3 linked regions of the Ovis aries genome follow. Each later gene encodes a partner of the first gene's protein in a complex. Links are inferred from orthologs where the notes say so. Each region holds a gene or a part of one and is shown in the gene's direction. Other genes may lie near its edges.

Evidence for each region. The genes of interacting proteins can lie anywhere in the genome.
Region 2: RIPK1 (region 1) and ZBP1 share a complex: the UniProt entries of both Homo sapiens proteins name them as parts of the AIM2 PANoptosome complex. The link is inferred for Ovis aries from reciprocal best matches to the Homo sapiens genes RIPK1 and ZBP1.
Region 3: RIPK1 (region 1) and RIPK3 share a complex: the UniProt entries of both Homo sapiens proteins name them as parts of the AIM2 PANoptosome complex. The link is inferred for Ovis aries from reciprocal best matches to the Homo sapiens genes RIPK1 and RIPK3.

The regions. Positions count from the first base shown.
Region 1 is NC_056073.1:49,670,334-49,676,469, reverse strand, and holds the end of RIPK1 (receptor-interacting serine/threonine-protein kinase 1), read left to right. Parts: intron 1-635; coding exon 636-788; intron 789-2,858; coding exon 2,859-3,145; 3' UTR 3,146-3,794; downstream 3,795-6,136. UniProt on the Homo sapiens protein: Serine-threonine kinase which is a key regulator of TNF-mediated apoptosis, necroptosis and inflammatory pathways.
Region 2 is NC_056066.1:58,223,726-58,231,839, forward strand, and holds the start of ZBP1 (Z-DNA-binding protein 1), read left to right. Parts: upstream 1-3,998; 5' UTR 3,999-4,052; coding exon of another isoform or gene 4,053-4,155; exon of another isoform or gene 4,156-5,464; 5' UTR 5,465-6,560; coding exon 6,561-6,894; intron 6,895-7,643; coding exon 7,644-7,709; intron 7,710-8,110; coding exon 8,111-8,114.
Region 3 is NC_056060.1:20,645,512-20,653,608, forward strand, and holds RIPK3 (receptor-interacting serine/threonine-protein kinase 3), read left to right. Parts: upstream 1-3,981; 5' UTR 3,982-4,115; coding exon 4,116-4,135; intron 4,136-4,338; coding exon 4,339-4,479; intron 4,480-4,611; coding exon 4,612-4,921; intron 4,922-4,958; exon of another isoform or gene 4,959-5,242; coding exon of another isoform or gene 5,243-5,458; coding exon 5,459-5,604; intron 5,605-5,741; coding exon 5,742-5,788; intron 5,789-5,993; coding exon 5,994-6,161; intron 6,162-6,272; coding exon 6,273-6,358; intron 6,359-6,578; coding exon 6,579-6,920; intron 6,921-7,063; coding exon 7,064-7,124; intron 7,125-7,759; coding exon 7,760-7,944; 3' UTR 7,945-8,092; downstream 8,093-8,097. UniProt on the Homo sapiens protein: Serine/threonine-protein kinase that activates necroptosis and apoptosis, two parallel forms of cell death. Necroptosis, a programmed cell death process in response to death-inducing TNF-alpha family members, is triggered by RIPK3 following activation by ZBP1.

The DNA.
Region 1 (6,136 bases):
AGTCCACGTGGTCGCACAGAGTCGGACATGACCGAGCGAGTTCCCTTTACTTCACTGGAGACAGTGTCCTCAAGGGTCATGCATGCTAGGTCATGGGCCAGAACTCCCTTATTGTGAGGCTAAAGAGAGTGCATCACCGTTGTGTGGCCCGTCCAGAATGGACCGCATTTTGTTTACCTGTTCATCTGCTGACAGACACTTGGGTAGGTTCCACTTTTTGGCTGTTAGGAACAATGCTACAAGCGTGCGTGTATAGATATCGGATTAAGACCCTGCTCTCAGTTCTTTGGGGCATATACAGGTAGAGCTCCTGCATGGTATGGCAGGTGGTTTTTACTTTTTGAGGAACCACCACCGGTTACCACAGGGGCTGCATCTGTTTATATTCCCACTAGCCGCCCACAGAGGTTCGCTTCCCCACATCCTCGCTGACACGGGTTGTTTTCTGTATTTTTGATAGTTTCCAGCCTAATGGATGTGAGATGATTCAGCCAACTTTTAAAGAAGAAAATTTCAAGTGGTGGCGTAGGATGAATTATTTAACTTAAGCAGTCCTGCCCCTTTACCAGGCTGTCCTTTTTTCTCTTCCTTGCAGTCTAGATATACTACTTATCTCTGTGTTTCTTTCTAATTAGATGAGTCTGTGAAATATACCATACACAACAGTTCTGGCATTCAGATCGGCGACAGCAATTACATGGAGATTGGTGGAATGAGTTCATCAGTACTCGACAGCATGTACATGAACTTGAAAGAAGAGCCGGCTTCTAAGTACCAAGCCATCTTTGGTAAGCTGCCCTTGAAGGGCTCATCCTACAGCAACCTTGAACTTTCTCACCTGATTATTTCTCTGATGACTCTCCCTGAAGAGGCCCTATTGCTCCTCATGTAATTTCCGTGGACGTGCTTTGTAACTTATTTATGTGTGCTGAGGCCATAATTAGAATATCTAATTCATGGGTTTGCTATGAAAGTGAAATTAGTCAACACAAACAAAGGGCTTATACACTGTCTGGCACATGGTAAGATAGAAAAGTGTTAAACACATCATCATCGTCAATATGGCCACCCGGACCCAGGAGCCCATCAGGTCCTCGTCAGAAGGATTCCGTAAAGGACAGAAGACTATGCCCTCAGCTGCACTTGCATAATAAAAATTAGAGGGCTTTCTCTTATGGGATTCCACTATACAGCCTCATAACATTAATCCCAAAACACAACCTGGGGGAAACAGTGCGATTTAAGAACCCAGCTTTCTAATCCACCCCAGGACTGGCATTCTCTTTTTTTAATCAAGGGCCTGAGAGCAAGCGTTTCTGGCTCCGCTGGCCCTGCCGTCTCTGTTGCAGCCGCTCAGCTGACACTGCCTCCATGTGGGCTTCCCTGGTCGCTCAGATGGTACAGAATCCTCCCACAGTGGGAGACGTGGGCTGGAGCCCTGGGGTGGGGAGATCCCCTGGACGACCACTCCAGTCTTCTTCCCTGGAGAATCCCCATGGACAGGGGAGCCTGGTGGGCTGCAGTCCTGGGGCCACAGAGTCGGATGCGACTGAGCAGAGCACGTGGCGCAGCTGACCCCCAGCACGCCAGCAGCCCCAGGCAGTAGGTGCACGGATGGGTGTGGCCACATTCTAATAGAACTTTGTGTGGCTGAGAGGTTAAAGCGTCTGCCTGCAATGCGGGAGACCTGGGTTTGATCCCTGGATCGGGAAGATCCCCTGGAGAAGGAGATGGCAACCCACTCCAATATTCTTGCCTGGAGAATCTCATGGGCGGAGGAGTCTGGACAGAGCCAGGCTACAGTCCACCGGGTCCCAAAGAGTCGGACATGACTGAGCGACTTCACTTTCACTTTCTTTCACTTTACAAAACGAGCAGCGGGCCACGTGTGGCTCACAGGCCATAGGTGGCCAAAGTGAAAGTGAAGTCGCTCAGTCGTGTGAGACTCTGCGACCCCATGGACTGTAGCCTACCAGGCTCCTCCGTCCATGGGATTTTCCAGGCAAGAATACTGGAGTGGTTGCCCCATCTAACCCTCTCAAAGCCAGTCTTTAATTCACTAGAGCAGAGGTTCCTAAGGTCTGGGCTGACAGGGTGCCTTTGAGAACCTGCTGGAGCCCAGGGCCCCTCTCCTGGTGAAGCATTGGCAGACTCTGGCCGGGAGGCTGACATCTGGTGATGGTCAGAGCTGCACTGTGGGAGCCGAGGAAAGATGGGCGTTCTGCCGGGGGGGACGAGGTGTTTCTATTATTCCGCTTACTGAACATCACGGAATATGGCTTGTTTGTGGTGATTTTATACTTCTCTTTGCTTCATTTTATTATTTTTACGAAGGCCTGAGAGGAAGGAACCAGTAGGGAGAGAGAGGTTACGGCTCTAGGAGAAAGGAGGACTGAGTGGGGCAGGGGAGGGATGAGCCCAGAAATGCCGCACCGGTGAAAAGACAGCGCAGCCAGAGTTCCCGCCGGTGGCCTCCGTGTCCGGGACCAAGTGAGAGGAACACGCACGGCTGGCCGACGGTTTCCTGAGTTGAGTGACCTTAACTCTGGCCAGATGGAAGCAGAACAAGGCCCAAAAGGAACAAGAATGGTGTTTTCCCCCTTGACGTCAGGAAGGTGTAAACAGGGGCTGTGGTCAGCTGGTCCGGAACAGCCTAGCGGCCAAGGGGGCAGCTCCCAGGAGGAAGCCGGTCCTCGCGTGGGCTGGTAGACAGGCGAGGAGCGTCCGGGGAGCCGCAGCCAGACCATGGGGGAGCTACCTCTTTTACTGACTCCTGGGACTCTGTACTTTATGCCGGTGTTTGAAGCCAGAGTGTTCACGTGGCCACAGCTCAATGCCTTCTCTTTTCTGTTCGGCAGATACTACTACTAGTCTGACTGACAAACACCTGGACCCGGTCAGGGAGAATCTGGGAAGACACTGGAAGAACTGCGCCCGTAAGCTGGGCTTCTCTGAATCTCAGATCGATGAAATCGACCACGACTACGAGCGAGATGGACTGAAAGAAAAGGTTTACCAGATGCTCCAAAAGTGGCTGATGCGGGAAGGCAGCAAGGGGGCCACCGTGGGGAAGCTGGCCTTTGCGCTGTACCTGTGCTCACGGATAGACCTGGTCAACTGCTTGATCCGCGTCAGCCAGAACTGAGCCCACAGGCGCTCCTGCGGCAGGGGCCGCCTTCCCCCCGGCGAAAGCCTGCTGCCTGCGGAGACTCGGACTTCTCTTCTCCCGGATACAGGGGGTGCTGCGTCTGTGTCAAAGTCACCTCCTACCTTTCACAGCTGGAGGATGGAAAAGGGAATCGCCAGCAAACCACCCACTGCGCCGGACGCAGGACCACCTATTTGTGGCCAAGGCCCAACCCAACAAGAAGCCTAATTGGGCTTCGAAAAGGAGAGAAGAGAGAGTTGAGAAAGATCATTTTTTTCTTTCATATGATCCCATAATCTTCATGCTATTCATTCTGGTTTCTGGGAGTTTTGATTGAGCAAGGAAGAAAAAGAAAAATTTGGAGTCTATAACCTAAATCAGCTTTCTAATTTTACACTGCCTTCTCCACATAAGCACCTGTTATAACCAAAGTGAAAAATAAAAGTTCTCATTCAGTCGGATAGCGGAAAACTGGAGGGGGAGATGGTCCCCAGCTGCAGGAGGGGGCGGGGTGATTCCTTTCCCAGATGCATCCCTTGTGACCACTGCTCTCTAAATTCCAAACAGGTTAACTAATCAGTGTCAGAGACAGCAGACAATATTTTAATGGACTAATTAAAATAAAATTTTGTACCTCAAATGGAAACCACTGAAATTATGTGTTTGTATAAACGAAACAGTGTGAGATTCTCCATGGTGACCCCCAGCTACTGGCAGGAGAGATCGGGGAGCTAGGGAGAAAAGAGCTTTCCTGACATTGCATTTTGACTTTCAAGATGAAACCCACGGGCCTGAGAGTAAGCACTGCAGTCTCGCACACCCAGCTCAGGGGCCTTTCCTTCAGCCCCCACGGTCTAACTACTGGACGAAGAGGGCCAAGTTTACATCTGAGGAGTTTCGATATTAGGCCCAAACGCCACAAAAACACTCGTCTTGGGCAGGAATCAACGAAGTGGGACGACACAGACTACAATACGAGAAACAAGGCAACCTGTTCTTGGCTCTGAGAAAGGTATGAAGACCCTGAGGTGGATACTCCTAAGTGAGACCCACTCCCAGACCGCAGACCCTGCTCAGCAGAGTCCCCACTTGTCGCTGTTGCGATAATTGCTGTGGGTCCAGACGATGAAGTTAAATCTTCAGCAACACGAAAAGGAGTTATTTCTCACAACACATTTTAAATAGTTTAAAAAGCTTTTCTAGTTACAGTAATCATGTAAATAGGTCTGTATACGGTCAAGGTGTTAGAAGCATCTGATTACAAAGACATCACTGAAGGACCAGTTCTATGGTATAATCCAGACGCAGGCCTCTGAAATCAAGCAGGCACAAGTTACACTCTGGCCGTGCACCTGGGGCCTGCTTCCTGACCTTTCCCGGCCTCAGTTGCCTCATCTATAAATAGGGTGCTAGGACATAAGGTAGGTGTGAGGATTAAAATAAGATGATGCATCTCATTTTAGGTGCCTGGCGCAAAAAAGTTATTTAAGATGTTTTTTGATGTAGACCATGTTTGAAGTCTTTATTGAATTTGTTACAATATTGCTTCTGTTTTTATGTTTTGGTGTAGAGGCATGTGGGATCCTATCTCTGCAATCACGGGTTGAACCCACACCCCTTTGCGTTGGAAGCCACAATCTTAACCACTGGACTACCAGGGAAGTCCCTAAAAATAGTATTTTTAGAATTAGTCTTTATTGGAGTCTAGTTGATTTATGCTTCATTAGTTTCAGGAGTACAGCAAAGTGACTGTTAAACATATATCCACTCTTTTTTATATTCTTTTATAGATTCTTTAGGTCATTATAGACTGTTGAGTTCCCTGTGTTATAAGTAGGTTTTTATTAGTTGACACCAGTAGCCTAAGACCTCAGCACTACCATTTTTGCTGACCAGTAGGATAACTGGTATTAAAATTGTACAATTATTTTTAACCCCTCATCATCTCTGACAAGAAATCCCAATCAACATTTCATAAAAAAAAATAAGGAAATGTTGACCCCACTTCAGATTCTGAAAGTCAAACAACAGTAGCTGGAACATTACATATTTCTCTTTCCTTCTGTGTAGGAAACTGATGTGACAGCTTTATGTTGAAAAGACATATATAGTATATAGTATAGTATTATAGTATATAATATATATATACTTTTATATAGTATTTAAATCAAACCTCCCTTTACTGCCAAGAAACTCCCACTGGTCAGGGAGGACACTGCTGGTAATACAACTTCTCATGGCTGTAACACCAGGAAGCACTGTGCATAGAGGATTGTTACAATGAAAGGGTCTCCAGGAGAAGTAATATAAGATGCAAGGAAGCTGCTGGAATCTCCAAATCAAGACAAGGCTAAACAGCAGCCACCGATGTGCGGTTGTTTTCTGTTAAGGGAGAGAGCAGCCACAATCAAAGGGTATTGTTTTTCATTTTCCCTGTGGAACCTTCAGCTGCAAATACTGTTTATACTCTCTGAAGACTGAACTGGTCGTAAGAAGCACACACACTCAACAGTGGTGAAATACACGTAAAATTTGCCATCTTAACCGTCTTTAAGTGTACAGCCCTAAACACATTCACACTGTTTCTGCCACGTTCCTGCAAAACTGAGGCTCTGCCCCCACTGGACACTAACCCTGCCTCCGGCCCAGCCCGACACCCACCTGCTTCCGAACACCTGGGCCGCACGGGCCTCACTGATCTGGACTCACACGCGGCTCCATTTACGACCAAGCCTGCGGTGCTCGCCGCTCCCCCGCCCCGGGGGCGGCCAGGGACCCCACGCGGACACAGCCCCCATCCTCCGCACCCGGCGCCCCCCTCTGCTCCCGCCACAGCGCCGAGAAGCGGGAGCCCCGGCCTGTCTGCGGGATTCATCGGAGGCTCCCTGCGGCTTAGCTCTCGAGACCCGGGCCCCCGCCCGCACCGCTCTCCAGCCGCCGCTGGCCCGCCCTGATCTCCGGGATCCCCGAGAGCAGGGGCCCTCACGG
Region 2 (8,114 bases), on another chromosome or scaffold:
CTCTGACCTTTGCCCCTGGACAAAGGCAGTAATTATTGTCTCCACTTGGTGCCTTCAGACCTTTCCACTTCCTCCCCCTGAGGTTGAATTCCCAGAGAAACCATGATCATAACATTCAGGCTGCCTGGTAGAAAGGAGACTGCATTTTGCCAACACAATGTGCAGCAAAAATATCTCTCTTTTAAAAGGGAGAAAGAGAGAGAAATTTAAAGACTCAAGATCAGTAACATGTAATTATCATCTGGTTGGGGCGGAGAATTCTAATAGTTTCCAGAAAAACACAAGCAATGAAAAAGGAGTGTGCTTTTCAAGGCAAAAAGGGACCTGGGCTCCAGCAGGCAGTGGCACCATTTTGAAACTCCTGCGGCCTTTGAGGTCCTGCCCAAGCAGAGTAGGGAACCCCTAGCATCCTCTCCCCACTTTTGTCTTCCACACTGGACAGGAGTCTCTGAGAGTGTAGGAAGTACCTGTGAACTCAGCCTCAGACCTGCTCAATACAGAAGCTCCGCTGAACAGATATATTTCAAAGCATAGAGGAGCTTCTTGCTCCTTTCTTGGGGTGAAAACAGCTTCAAAATGGCAGGGACAGCTAAGTATCTTCTAATATCTTATCCCCTATTTGGAAGTTAATCAATCCCCCAGTTTTAGCCAGGTAGCATGATAGCCCAGAATAAAGACCTTCTTTCCCAGCCTCCCTCCTGGGCTCTGAGACTGAGGGATGTCAGGGGAATGTCTGTGCAATTCATGAGTGTTCTTAAAGGAGAGACACTTAGTCTTCTTCCCTTGCTTCCTTCCTCCTGTAAGGAATGGAGTTGTGATGGCTGGAGCTTGAGCAGCCATCTTAGAACATAAAGCCCACAAATGGCAAAGCAACATAATAGAAGGGGCCTGGGCCTCAACACTATGGTGTTGGGCTACCCACCAGACTGTTACAGGAGAAAGAAAGAAGTTTCTGTATAGTGTGAGTCACTGATATTTCGGTGAAAGACCATCCTTATAGTCAAAATTACCTTGAAATTCTCTTAAGTAGAGAAGAGGAAATGCAAATTAATTAAAACTTTAAAAGTAAGAATCCCATTCAATGTGGTAAGATGTTCACAGCAGGTTCATGGTTTCCATTCCAGGTGTACCATGGAACGCTAAGGAAGGAGGAACCCATCCACATTAAATTGTGTTTTTTACTTCCTCTTTCTCACTTGCTTTTTTTTTTTTTTTTTTTTTGCCTAGTGTCTAATCTTGGGCTCTCCTGGCATCTCAGCTCATAAAGAATCTGCCTACAATGCAAGAGACCCTGGTTCAATTCCTGGGTCAGAAAGATCCTGTGGAGAAGGGATAAGTCACCCACTCCAGTATTCTTGGGCTTCCCTGGTGGCTCAGACAGTAAAGAATCTGCCTGCAATTCAGGATACCTGAGTTTGATCCCTGGGTTGGGAAGATCCCCTGAAGGGGGGCATGGCAACTCACTCCAGGATTCTTGCCTGGAGAATTCCACGGACAGAGGAGCCTGGCAGCCTACAGTCCTTTGGGTCGCAAAGAGTCAGACACGACTGAGCAACTAAGCACAGCACAATGTCTAAAGTTATGTTATGGAGATCCATCAGTCACGTGGCATTTTCCAAATGAAGCAAATTTTGTAAACACCTACTAAGTGACAGATAAACATGCTTTTTCTTATCTGTTATTTCTGTTTCATAATTAAAACAAAGCTCAGAGAGGAAGTGGCACACTGTTAGGGAGAAGAAGGGTTGCAGCTCAGAGGTGGGTGATGGGGAACAGAGCCCTCCCAACGTGTGCATACAGACACAAACCAGAAGCAGCTGACCCTCAGATTGGACTCTAGTGTGACCTGCAAATCCACCAGGTAACCAGGTCTAGGCCCAAGTCGGAGTGTCCACACTAAGGTCAACATGGCTGAGAAGCCAGAATATGGTCAGATGGAGTTGGGGTTATCCTAGGATGGGGGACAAGTGAGAGCCACCCCCGCTAAATCAGAGGAACTGGGCAAGGGGAGCCTGGACTCAGGTTGGTGAGCGGGCGCCACCTAGTGGTCGGTCCTGGCGTGGCACCTCCCAGCCGCCCACAGTGACTCAGCCTGAGCCTGAGCTCAGAAGACACCTGACAATCTCTCCCAATACACCCAATTAATCCTCATTTAAAATTAACGTTGTCAACGCACATAGAGACACACGTTTCTTCTGTTTTACATTAAAAAGGAGCACAAATATCGTTGCGGCTTCCTATTTTTATTGAGTTGTCCAACACTTCACCTCTGGTTCAAGTGAAGTCCTCTAGGACTTCCAGCCCTGCCTCCCAAGATGGGGACTTACTTGGTCTGAGAGTGGACAGGGCATCGGGATTTTTCTTGCTTGTTCTGCAAATGTTACAGGGATAAACCAAGTCTGGCTCCATGTTGGAACGGTTTCTTTTTTTTATTTTTATTTTTATTTATTTATTTTAGTTTTTTTATTTTTTAAATTTTAATATCTTTAATTCTTACATGCGTTCCTTCTAATTTGCTCTCTGTTGCTTTTGTTATTATAATCACCCATAATGGTCTGCCTCAGAATCCTGCCCCCTCTGCCTGACTGCTAAACTAGAGTGCCTTTGTTCAGAACCCTGCCCACCTGTAGATGGCAGGAAGGAAGAAATGAACACATCCCCTGCCTGAGGCTCGCCATTTGAGATGTTCGCAAGATTAATGGCCTTTTTACTTTGTTTCCTCATCTCCCTCCACCTCTGATCTGTGAAAGAACCTGGCATCCAGACCCCATAAGATGGTTATTTTAAGACAATAGTATGCCATCTTCTCGGTCAGCTGGCTCTCCAAATAAAGTTGTATTTCTTGCCTCAACACCTCATCTCTGATTTGTTGGCCTGTTGTGCAGTGAGCCGGGAGAACTTGGACTCAGGAACACAAAGATAACTTTGAGATAAGCCTTCGGGGCCCTTTCCATGGCTGTACTTATTCCCAAGTGCTTCCCTTTGCAGAAATGCTGCGGATGGTGTTCCCCTGGGAGCCCGGGACTGGCACCTACTCCTTGGCCTCAGCTGAGACCCTGAGCCCTTGACCCTCTGGGCTGCCTTGCACAAAGCCCTTCACCTCTGTTGGCCTCAGTTTCCCCTTCCGTCACCTGGACTGAGCAGGGTCTCTGAACTGTTTGGGGAGGTCAATGGCCCCTGTAAGAATTTTCAGAAGCGATGGGTCTTTTTTTCCAGAACCAGGTCAGTGGGTGCCCAGCTATGCTCATGGCTGTAGAGGTGCCTGAATTAACCCTTTTAGTCCTCGCCACCACCTCTTGAGGTCACTCCTTTTATTAGCTCATTTCATAGATGGGATAACTAAGACATAAATAGGTAAAATAATCTGTCCAAGGTCCCACAGCCAGTAAATGGTGGGGCTGAGTTAGAACCTGAGCATCTCTGTGATCTTGGACAAGTGGCCTCATTGACCCGAGCCTCAGTTTCCTGAGAAAAGAGACCCTAACTAGATCCTAACCTGTAGATGAGTCAGGGGCACATGAGGTTGGAAAGTACATAGTAAGTACTCATTAAACAGTCCTCCTTTTTTTTTTTAATTAGAGGATAATTGCTTTTTAATGTTGTGGTCTCTGCCGTACACCAACACTGTCGTTGGTTTGATATGCACACACATATGTGGTTTTGATGATCACAAGCGCTCAGCCACTCACCCACCCAGGTATCTTGGCCTGTGGCTGGGGGAGTCAAGGTGGACAGTGGTGGGAAATCCCCCCAGCCCTAGAAGAAGCTCTGGTCTCCTCCATCTCAGCAGCTCCCTACCAATATCTAGTAGAAGGCCTAACTGTGTCTTGCTCAATTCAGCTTTCGATTTTGTTTCTCTCAAAAACCACACATAAGAGTTTCATTTTCATTTTCTCCAGAAACTGATCAGGTTGGCTGCCTAGGGCCTCATTTCCGGGGTGTGAACAGCTGACAGCTGACAGCTGTCCGGATGAAGCTGGAGTGTCTTCACAGCTGCTAGAAGCACCAGCCTGGCCCACAAGAGTACACACAGCCTTGACCGGACCCACCTTATGCAGGCCCCAGGGTCAGAGCCTGCTGCTGACTCCAAGTCTCCCAGGCTTCCTGCAGCTGCTGCCAGCATGGCCGAGGTCCCTGCTGACCCAGGAGACACAGGTACTTTTTTCCTTCTAAGGACCCGCGGGAGTGCCTGGGCTGGACTTAACTTTTCTTCTGGTTCCTTTTCTTGGTTCAGATGACAACCATGATAGGCTAATACCTGAAGGCACCACCGTAACAAGAGAGGGAGAGAGCATTGCATCGGGTTCAATCCGTGTGCGTTTTGCAGGAACCCTCAGGGGAAGCCCGCTGAGGTTCCCACCTCACTCCCGAGATCACAGGCAGCACAGGTGAAATGACTCAGGCGACCACAGCTGAGCGTGGGGCCTGAACACCCGCCTTCACTTTCGTTTTGAGGAAGGAGGGAAGTTGCTTTGCTTGTATGTGGCTTTCCTCCTGCTGCTGTTCTTTTATTGAATGGCGCACACGAAACTTAACTGGCACTGAACAGAGCTGATTCCTAGGGTCCCCACCGAAAGGGTGTGGGCTGGGGGCTGAGGTGCTTTTTGTCTGTCTTTGTTCTGTGATCAGTAACTATCTGAACCTCACCATGATCTGAAGTAGTCATGAATCTCACCATTTCAAAGATGGGGAAATGGAGGTCACACAGCTGATAGGTGGCAGAATTTTGGCTCAAACCCAGGAAAATATGCTGTGTCAGGGAGGGGGGTTAACTGGGAGTGGCCCAGAATCCCAGGGTGGGTTCCCAGGTTCCTGTTGTATTTTCCCAAGGAGACTTGTCAGGGGCACTGGGTAACTGAATTTAACTTGTTCCCCAGCAGGTTTTCCTTTTAACTGATGTATCATTTATACCTCATCCCATTTTGCAATTTCTGGTTCAGCAGCCAGAAGACTCAGTGGGGGAGGCAAGCCCAGCCTTCACTGCATGGACCCCATTTCCTCTTTGGGGTCAGGGGACTGCAGGAGGAGGAAGAGAGAGAGGCTCACCCAGGAGCAGGTTTTTCAGGAATCAAAACTCTTTTCAAGGCTAGGCAAAGCATCAGTGGGTGGGACGGGTATGACAGTCTCGGGGGTAGTGTTTAGTGAGTGAAATTCAGGCTGGGTGACCCCAGGGGTTGTAATGCACATCACCTGCCCCCAGAAGAAAGCAAACCTTCCGCCCACAAGAGCAAGCCACAGTGCCCAGCGCAGAGCTGGCAAACAGGTCATCCCCTAGTGCTGCCCACTCAGAATCCAGCAAGAACCCAGAAGTCAAAGGGTTGGGCTGCTGCCCTGGGAAGGTAACTTGGCCTTCCCAAGAAAGGCCCTGCTTTGCATTCCCATGGTGTTCTCAGGGGCAGACACTTTCTCTCCCAGCGCCATGCACTGCTGGCTCTGCGCCCACCAGTTCTCTCACTCCCCACAGGGCAGCCGGCTTGGGTTTATGGGAGCCTGCCTGCGAGGAGTAGAGGCTATTTGGAAAGTTCCTCTTTGAGCCTAGAGGCATCCTGCTTAGGACCATTAACTCTGGCAGAGGGGAGGCGGAAACAGAGGCCTTGGAGGAGCGCCCATCCCCTGCCCAGGCCATCTGAGCACACATCTACCCAGGAGTGGACACTCACTCTTTCATCCAGTCCCTCCTCCATTCAAATGCTGTTAATAGTTCGTGAGACCCTACTGCATGCCTGGCCCATGGCTAGACACAGAACCACTACAGTGAACCTGGCAGTCACAGCAGCGGATCCCTGGGGACACTCTGCAGGGGACCCACACAGGACCAGCATCCCACCTGCTCAGGGCACTCAGGACAGCCTTCCAGCATTGGAGTCTGAGTGAGAACTCACACTGGACAGGTGGAAATGGGGGGAAGAGCATGCCTGGCAAAGGGAATGGCATGTGCAAAGGCCCAGGGGTGAGTATGGCTGAAAGGAATTCAAACAGGTTGGCACTTGAAGGGCAGTAGAGGGTGGGTAAAGATGAGGCTGGCAGAACGGGTTCTGCCAGCCAAGAGGAGGGTGGACTGGAGGGAAGCTGGAGTTGGTGGAACTTCTGTCATCGAGGGGATGCTGACAAGGAGTGGGGAGTGGAGGCAGAGGAAAGGAGAAGGGGTTGAGAGAGTCTGGAGCGGCACCACCAGGACTCCATGGTTGGGCAGCAGGGTGAAAGCTCTGTTTCTGGACGCCGGCTGGGCTTCTGGGGGGGATGAACGGTGAAACCCCCCCGTGGATGGTGAGCCCGAGGAGCAGATTCCACAGGGCGGGGTGGATGGGGGATAGAAGGCACCAGGGACAGGCCTTACTTCCCTGGCTCCTCTGCTCCGCCCTTACCCTCCTGCATCCTGCCGCCTCCACTCTCTTCTGCTCTGAGGACACCTGAGGGCTGACTGTTCTCATCTGTCCTCCAGTGCTCACACAGGCAGGGGACACTCGGAAGGCCTGGCAGCTCCTCTGGCCACCAGACTGTCCTGCCCAGGTCACTTCTGAGCAGCCCACGCGCCCCTCCCTGAAGACAAGGAGACACTGATGGGTGTCTACGTTAACCTCTGTTCCTCCGTCTGCCCTAGATCCCTCTCTGGGGGGCGCCTGACGGCCCAGGCTGGGTCGTGGGGACCTCAGTTCTGTCTCTGCCCCTGTCTCCCTCTCCCAGACCTTGAGCAGAGAATTCTGGAGGTGTTGAGGGATGCTGGCTCCCCTGTGAAGACCACCCAACTGTTAAAGAAATTGCAAGTGCCCAAGAAGAAGCTCAACCAGCTCCTCCACAAGATGAAGCAGGAGTCAAAAGGAGTCATGCTCGCAGGCCCTGCAATGTGGTGCTTGGGCGACAGCGGGACCAAAGAAATGGTTCCCACAGAGCGGGGTAACCTGTCACCGCGGGTGGGAGAGGTGGGGGTGCGGGACCCAGCATGAGCGGTCCTGGTAGCGACCAAGCCCAGATTTGGACCTGGGTTCAAGTACGGGCTCTGCCCTTGAGGGTGCATGCTGTCTTCTGACTGCATCCTGATTTCTTTCTCTGGCCAATGGAGGTGAGAGGATTTGATGCAAATGGCTAAGCCCATGCCAGCACGTAGTAGATGCTCAGCAAAACTTTAATAATGATGATTATGACATGACCAATGACACAATAATAATTGAGCATCGCATGAGATCTGCTTCTCTGGTTCTGCAGCCCATGGCCCTAAACAGCTGACATGTGTCAGGTACTTACAAAAAGCCGTTGCAGGACCAGGGTTGGGGGAGGGGGGCTGAAAGTGAAGGTGTTAGTCACTCAGTCATGTCCAACTCTTTGCGACACCATGGACTGTAGCCCACCAGGCTCCTCTGTCCATGGAATTCTCCAGGCAAGAATATTGGAGTACGTAGCTGTTCCCTTCTCGAGGGGATCTCCCCAACCTAGGGATTGGACCCAGGACTCCCATATTTACAGTCTGAGCCACCAGGGAAGCCCAGAAGTGGGTGGGGCAGGATTTGAAGCTAAGTTCCTTTAACTCTAGAATCTGAGTTTGGAGATCCACATACTGGGTCCTCTACAGAGCAGCCCGCCTTTGTCTGGCAGAATCCACGTCCCCTCTCCCGTTCCTTCACCCCTGACCATCTTTCTTTCTCCAGTGGAGAGGCCCCAGCAAGATGCAGTTGCAGTTCCAAAGAAGCCGGGCCCAGAGCTCAGTGAACAGCGTAAGCATCCTGGTTTCATTCAGCACCGGGTCCCTCTGCCCCCAGACTCTCACGGTCACTCAGGAAGCTAACACGTGTCCAGCAACAACCACCCCACCCACTGAAAGGTCCCCACACTGCACACAGTATTCAGAGGCAAGGCTCTGCCTCTTGGGGAAAGAGGCTAAGTGACTGAGAAATCATTTGTCTGATGAATGGTTAGCATTTGCTGTGCACCTAGTGTGGGCAGGCACTGTCTGGAGCCCCTGGAGAGAATTCCCAACCCCCAGAGTGACCTCCGTGGTGCAGTAATATTATTGTGTCCATTTCACAGATTAGGAAAATGGGCACAAGGGCTGGTAAGCAGGGGAGTAGATCCAGCCTCCAGGGTCCTCTTTAACCACCGGCCTCCCACCTCCCAGAGAA
Region 3 (8,097 bases), on another chromosome or scaffold:
AATTTCAGTCATTTGCTCCTCCAATATTGCCTTACCCCATTTTTCTTTCTCTTCTCCTCATGGAGAAGCCAATTTGATGACTGAAAGATCACCTCGATTTTTTTGCCTCAATTTTTTTTTTATCAGCTTGTCTCTGTTGCTGCATTCTGATTAATTTTCTCAGATCCATCTTTTAGTGGACTTTCTTCGGCTATATCGTCTGTATGGCAGTTTTAATTTTAATGGTTACATAAAAATTTGTATTTCTTGATAATTTATTTTTTTCTACATATCTCCAGGTATTATTATAATCTCTTATTCCTGGTTTATGTTCTCTATTCCATCTTCTGTTTCTTTAAACACTTCCCAATAGCTTCAGATTCTTCATCTGATTGTTCCAATTTCTGGACCCCTTAAAGATTTAAGCCTGTTGATTATCATTTCTGCTGATACTCATCTGTGGTGACTTCAATCCTTACATATTTATATTCAGTAATTTTTTGATGAGTTTATATTTGGCTGAATTTAATCCAGAAGTTTGAATTGAAGATGCTTTTCTCTAGGGAGAATTCTATTTGCTTCTGTTAGACTTCAAGGAGCATTAATAACATGGGGCCATTTAACGTTTTAAGCTTATGGTTTACTTAAAAAAAGGAAAAGTTAAAATTCCAACCGCAAATCTCTATGTTAGCAGATCTCACATGGAAGCTAACCTTTTATTAATGGTAACTTCTAGTGCTGCACTTTGGATAGGTTGCTTGTAGGTTCTCTCTGCAAGCAGGCAGACTTCTTCCTTTCTGTTAAGAATGTAACCCCTTGAGGATCCAAGCTTTGGGGGGAGTAGAGTTGTCTCACATTTAGCTCTTTACTCTCTGGTTCTGCCCCAAACTGTCTTACCCCTACCCAGTTCCCAAAGTTCTAAGTTTCTACTTAGTTGACCTCTCTGTTTATTTACTATTTCCTTTTTGCTTTGTATTATTTTGTTTGCTTCAGGGGGACGCATGTGGGAGATTATCCTTATTTCCGCGGGACCTCACCAAGTTACTTTTAAAATATGTTTGTTGTGCTTTATATAGCATTTAGGTATTCTGCCATGGGAGGCTTCTATGAGCTCTGTCACACTACTGGAAGAGGATTTTTGAAGCAAACCAAAACAAATGTGATTATATGGTATATATTGTTTTATAACCTGATTTTTTTCCTTTGATATATAATAAACCCCTGTTGTACAATAAATACAGGTCTAGAACAGCATTTTAATGGCTGCATAGTCTTCCAATGTATAATGTATTCAATCTTTTTCCTATTATTGGGTATTTAAGTTTCTATTTTTTCGCTATTTTAAACAACATTTCCGTGAATATCCTGAAACTTTGGCTAAATCTTTGCATACATCATAACACTTTTCTTTCTTTATCTGTTTATAAAAGTGATACCTGTTAATATAAAATATTCAAATACTAAGGAAAACAAAAATTCTCCATAATCTTTTTTACTGTCACCTCAATTAATACAATTTATTCTATAATTGAAATCTCTTAATCAAACGACAGAGGAGAATTAGGGCTAGAATATGCAAGAAGAGAGACCACAATCTCTGCCCCTCACTTGCATCCCAGCAACTAGAAATGCGGAATCAGAGCAGGTACACAGGATGGGCTGAAGGTCACTGAAGACAATCAGCTATAGAGAACTGAAGGGATGAGAGACACCCAAATAGACTCCAAAGGCCTGGGACAACCAGGGTCAGGTGTCCCTGGCCTCAGAAAAGGCCAGAGCTTCAAAATCCAGGAATCAACTCTGCCTTGCCAGTTCCCCAACTGCTGGAAGAAGAAAGCAGAGGTCTTCTCAGGCACTCACTCCAGGCTCCTCTTCCTACCCCTCCTTCTCTTAAAGATGCTTGGTTTGTTTTTTATATTTTTTTGAAATTTCTTGATGATGTGCCTGAGTATGGACTTTTTTCTTCATACATTTGCTGGAAACTCAGTGGGCACGTCTATTTATTTTTGGCTGAGCTAGGTCTTTGTAGCTGTGTGGGCTTTTACTCCAGTGGCAGTGAGCAGGGAAGACTCTAGTTGAGATGCGAGGGCTTCTCATTGCAGTGGCATTTCTTATTGTGGAATATGGGCTCAAATGTGCATAAGCTCCAGCAGCTGCAGCTCAGGGGCTCTACAGCACAGCCCCAGTAGTTGCGGCACACGGGCTTGGTTGCCCCACAGCTTGTGGGATCTTCCTGGACAAAAAATCGAATCTGTGTCTTCTATATGGATAGGCAGATTCTTTACCACTGAGCCATCAGGGAAGCCCAAGTTGGTTTATTTTGAGTCAAAAACTATTATAGGTTCTGACACCATCCCCAACCTTACACTTTACAGTAACTTCTTCCAGTTCTCAGGTTCGTATGTCAGTCTAAAGAAATCTAGCTGTAAAAGGTTTTTAAATGTAGCTCTAACTCCTTTCTGACTACTCTCCTCAAACGGAGGCCAGGTGTTGAGACCATGAGCTCAGAAAGAATCATGGAAGGAATGACTGTCCTCTCTGATGGTTCTTAGGTCCTGAACTAGACGTTTTTGAGGAACTTCCAGACTTGCCTTTATATTCCGTGAGATACCACCGTATCACCATAAGACTTCAGATTAATTCTGTCGACTGCGCAGGTACGTGAAGAGACCCCAAACCAGAAATAAACCCAACCTCCTAGCTCCTCTCTGTTGACTATGGAGCACCACCTGGGATGGTTAGCATCTCAGTGAAGCCTCAAAAAGTTTGGGTTGTTCATTTATTAATCCAATTCAACAAATATTTATTGGATACCTACCTTGTACCAGCTTTTAAAGAGACTACAATTTAAGAATTCCCTAAATAGGTCAAAAATAGCATGCACTGACTCCATCAGAATTCAAGATGTGTATCCTGGAGTTCCAGTTTCTGGAGGAACCACAGTTAACTGCTGGCCACTTTTGCTCCAGCTAGAGGAGTCCATGGACCACTGGACAGGATGGAAAGTTCCACAAGGTGAGCACCTTCCAGGGAGTCTTGCCCCATGACCCACAGGGTTGAGTCTCCCCATGAAGGACTGAGTGCCTAAGGCTGGCCGTATCTAATTCCATAACCTTCAGCTATGGTCAGGCCTTGGGCAGGTAAAATATGAACACCTTTTGTCAACCCTGAATCCTTAAGTCTCCCCAAGCTCCTGAGTTCTCCAAGACCCTTGTCCAGAGCATGTTTGTCAGGAAGATTTATTAATATTAACCAGAGAATTTGCAATGGAGGGTGGGGAGAGAGGGCAGAGAGGCTCTGCGGTGTCTCCACTGCCGTGTACACCACAGTATCAGCAACTCTCTGGTGGGCCAATTCACCTAGCTGACCACAGCACCCTGGGAGAGGTCTGTATTCGGAAAGAATAGAGCCCAGTGGACAAGCCACACCTTCCCCCGTCACCTTCCCCACCAGCTGACGTCTTTGTGAAAACGGCAAAGCTTCACGGTTCAGAGCCAGGCTCTGACGTCAGTTCCATGTCAGCTTGGGCCAGGTGCTTATACGCTCAGTGGTTTCTCACCTATAAAGAAGTAACAAAAGCAGTACCTATCCCCTTGGGTTGATGTGAGGATTAAGTGAGCTAATGGCATGTGGTGAGCTTTAGAGAAGTGTTAACTATGATCTTAGGGCAGCTGTGGGAGAACAGAGTCCTAGGACCATGACATCCTACTCAGCGCCACCGCCCGCACTCCCCCCGCCCCCCGCCAACCCTCCGCTCCCCGAACCCCGCCGCGGTATCCCAAGCTTGGCGCTGGAGCTGGGAATCCTGTGGAAGAAGGGAGAGAGGCCAGCGGTAGGAGGTGGTTGCGGGTTCCTGGAGGGTGAGGATACCCAGCGACAACCAGACCTGACCTGACACCTTGGGAGCAGCACTAGTTTCTGTTCTGCACCCTGCCCTGTGCCCTTCCCCGCCCCCGGGGCGGGACTGTAGAGGCATCAATTAAAGAAGGAAGTGGATCGGGCAGAGAGCACAACCCCGCGAAGCGGGAAGCGGAACCGTGAAGGAGCCTGGAGGTTGATTCCTCTCCCCGCCCCCAACCCCTCTTTCATCCGTGGGGGCTCGCAACTTCCAGAAGCTTCTCTCATCTTCCAGCCTGATGTCTGGCTCTGCGTTATGGTGAGTGGAGACTGAGATATGGATGCGCCTCGTGCCAAGACCAGGGCACAGTGCGTCTCACGGGAGGGGCTGGGGCTCGAACTGACAGCGCTGAGCCGAGTCACGGAGGTGGGCGCGGGGGGCGGTTAGAGGGGTGGGCCTCGGAGGGGAGTAGGGAGGCCTTGGGCCCGCGGCCGGCTGGTTACGTGGCCCCCCTCTCTCAGGCCCAGCGGTGCCTCAGCCCCGCTGGTGCCCATCGAGGAACTGGAGAACCCGGAGTTAATAGGCAAGGGCGGATTTGGCTCTGTCTTCCGGGCACATCACAGGAGTTGGGGCGTAGAAGTGGCGGTCAAGATCGTGAACTCGTGAGTGACCCGAGGTGGGGTCTGGTCCAGGAGGCTGGGCCGGGGAGGAGGGGCCGCTGTGCGGGGCGGGGCCTGGGCGGCGGGGAGGGTCGCTCGGGCGCAGAGCTGACGGCACCTCTCCCCTGAGAGCAGGAGGGCCATATCCAGGGAGGTGAAGGCCATGTCCAGTCTGCATAACAAGCATGTGCTGCTCCTGCTGGGGGTCACCGAGAAGCTGGAGTGGGAGTACGTGTCTGGGCCGGCTCTGGTGACTCCGTTCATGGAGAACGGCTCCCTGGCGGAGCTGCTACAGCCCCACTGCCCTCGGCCCTGGCCGCTCCTCTGCCGCCTGCTGCAGGAGCTGGTGCTCGGGATGTGCTACCTGCACAGCCAGAACCCAGTGCTTCTCCACCGGGACCTCAAGCCCTCCAACGTCCTGCTAGACTCAGAGCTGCACGCCAAGGTCAGCCCACCCTCACCCAGCCCATCTTCTGGACCAGGTCCTGCCCCAGAGCTGCTCCAACCCCATCCACGGGACATAGGACCCGCATCTGCTGCAGCCCTGTCTCCTGAATACCCTCAGCATCTCCCTCTGGACACAGGGCTGCCCAAGTGTCAAGGCCTAGCCTGGAGCTCTGGCCCCTGCCACACCAGGTGATGGAGGCCTTGACCATCACCTGACCATCACCTGACTTACCCTGGTCAGTTCCACAGGCCCACCCCACGGGCCTCCAAAGACCCGTAGCTGATCTATCCCAGGAGACTCAGACCTCAACCTGGTGCCATGGAGAGGGGACCCAGGCCTCCAGCCAGGGGCCCCACTGGTCCTACCCTTCCCCTAACCCTCCATACAGTCTTTGCAAGGCTGGGCCTGCACTTTTGGGGGGAGAGGAGTAAGGAAAGGGTTCTGGGAGTTTCTTGGACCTGCCCATTCCCTATCTCCTTCTTATCTCCCTTTTGTTCCATCCCCTATCTCCTCGTTCTTATCTCCCTTTTGCAGGTGGCAGATTTTGGCCTGTCCACATTTCAGGGAGGCTCACAGTCAGGGGCAGGATCTTGGGAGTCAGGGTGCACCCCAGCCTACCTGGCCCCAGAACTGTTGGCTAATATAAACCAGAAGGCCTCCAGGGCCAGTGATGTCTACAGGTAAGGCACCCACTCCAAACATATATCCAAACATATATCCCCAATTTCTACACCTGCCTGGGTCCTTCAAAGGGATGCTGTATGGAAAGGAATCTTGCCAGCAGTTGAGTCAGGCCTCAGCTTTGTGTCTACTGCAGCTTTGGGATCCTAACATGGGCAGTGCTAGCCGGAAGAGAAGCTGAGAGTAAGACAGACTCTGGGATCCTTCACCTCAGGTGCCCCCCTCCTCTAAGCCCCCAGTCTCCCAACCCCAAGCCCTCTTCCTCCTGTTTACCTGCTCAGACTGCCCCACTCCCTCCTCACATCTCCTACACTCCCCAGCCCTTTCCGTGATGGGGTAGCCTTCATACTCTGAATGCCTTCTCTTCACACCCCTACCCCCACCCTAGTAGTGCCCCAGACGTTGTTGGTGCGGGAAGCAGTGTGTGAGAGGCGGATCCGGCCCCCGCTGACTGAGCTGCCCCCGTCTGGGCCTGAGACTCCTGGCTTGGAAGAGCTGGCAGATCTGATGCAGAGGTGCTGGAGCCATGAGCCCCAGAAGAGGCCTTCCTTCCAAGGTGTGCTGGCCATCCGGCTGGCAGCTGAGACAGGCCTGAATTTGTCAGCAGGGGCTTCTCCCCCGGAAAAGAAATTTTGTTGACCTGCCACCCACTCTGCCTTCTCTCTAGAATGCCGAATAAACACCCAGAAAGCCCTTGATCTGGTAAATAAAGGAGATGCGCCTGGTAGAAAGATGAATGCCGCAGTCTACGTGGTGAGTGCTCACCCCCACCCAGGAGCTGGGCAGGATGGCAAACGCGGCCCCCTTGGCCACTCAGTGACCCCCCACTGACCACCCTTCTCTAAGCTTTGACCATGGTCCCCTCTCTCCTCACCCCATCCCTGAGTTCCCAGGCAACAGATATGGACCCAACTCCCTTGGGTTTACTCCGGCTCTCCCACCTCCATGCCCAGCCAGCTCCCCATCCCTACAGGTGAAGGAGTTCCTTTCTGAGTACAGGGGCAGCAACAGCCCAGGCCTGGAAAGGACAGAAATAGACAGTCCTAAGGAAACCACAGGAAGCCATGATTCCCTGGGCTCTGAAATGATGAAGCTGAATCTGGAGGGGCGCCCCAGCTCTGTTCCTGAAAAATGTACAAACCTTCTTGAGAACATCAGGGTCCCGAGAGAGCAGGTTCCGCCTGCCTGGACAGCAGAGACATCTTCAGATTCAACAGCCCGACCTCTTCAGACTCCAGAGACTTTACCTTTCAGAACCCAGAATCCCAGGCCCACCTCTGCTTGGATCCCAGGTCCTGGACCCCAAGGGAGTCAGGTGAGACATTGGAAGTATTACAGGATGCGCTAGGACTCCTGTGAATCCTGTCCCCTTGCCAGGGGACACTTGGGGCTGAGGGTGTCTGCCATAAGGGATCAGGCCCCAGGACAGGGAGCCTGAGAGCCCTGTGTTGTTTGCAGGGGGCTGAGAGACGTGACACCAACTGCCCTCCCAGAGGGCCGGCACCAAATCTGGTACCAGGTACCCATTCCCCACTCCTGCCTTTCCCTGTTCAATTCTACTAGCTTCTTCCTCAAGACCAAATACAGATCCAGGGTACTTGGGGAGGGGGAATGAGAAAGCGCTAGAGCCCACCTACCCCAGCCTTCTCATTTTGTAAATGAAGAAACTGACAGCCACTGAGGTCACACACTAAAGCCAACTTGGCTCCTGAGCATTTGGATTTGCCCCACCACCAGCGCTGTGAACCTCTAAATTCCATTCCACTGTCGCTGTGTCGGTTCAGAGGGTCGCCCATCAGAAAAGACCCAGATATCATCTATTCAATGGACTTGAGTTTGAGCAGACTCCCAGAGATAGTGAAAGACAGGGAAGCCTGGCATAATGCAGTTCATTGGGTCACAAAGAGTCTGACACGACTGAGTGATTGAACAACATCAAAGTCTCAGATGTTAGTTGCCACTCCTCTTTAGTTTCTGCAAACCAAATTCTGAAGGTGTAGCCCGAAGGGAAAGGCTGAAGGCAGGCTGAGACCCCACACTTGCATTTCCCCAGGGTGAACACGAGGTGTCGCTGCCCCTCCATCCTGATGCTCCTCCTTGCTATAAATCTCCAGCCACTTAATCCTCCGAACATCCTCACTCTTTCTCTTAAAGGGCCATGGCTTCCTACCATCTTTAACTGCCAAGGAGTACAGATTGGAAACAACAACCGCATAATTATGCAAGGAAGAACAGCCTTCTCCACAAAGGGCGTGGCACCTGGGGCCGTGGATAGGGTCCCTCAGTGCACCCCTCAAGGAAAAAGTTCAAAAGAACGACCGAAAGAACCTGAAGCCTAATAGCAAGAATTGAAGCAGCTTCTCAACTGCCACCTGGACTTGAGGCTGCTAGCCTAGACTTTCTCTGAGGGCCATCAGGCCTTCACCTGAACTGTCTTTGTGGCCCCAGGAGACAATAAATGTGGCCGTTTAACCAAGGCACCATGAAGGAGG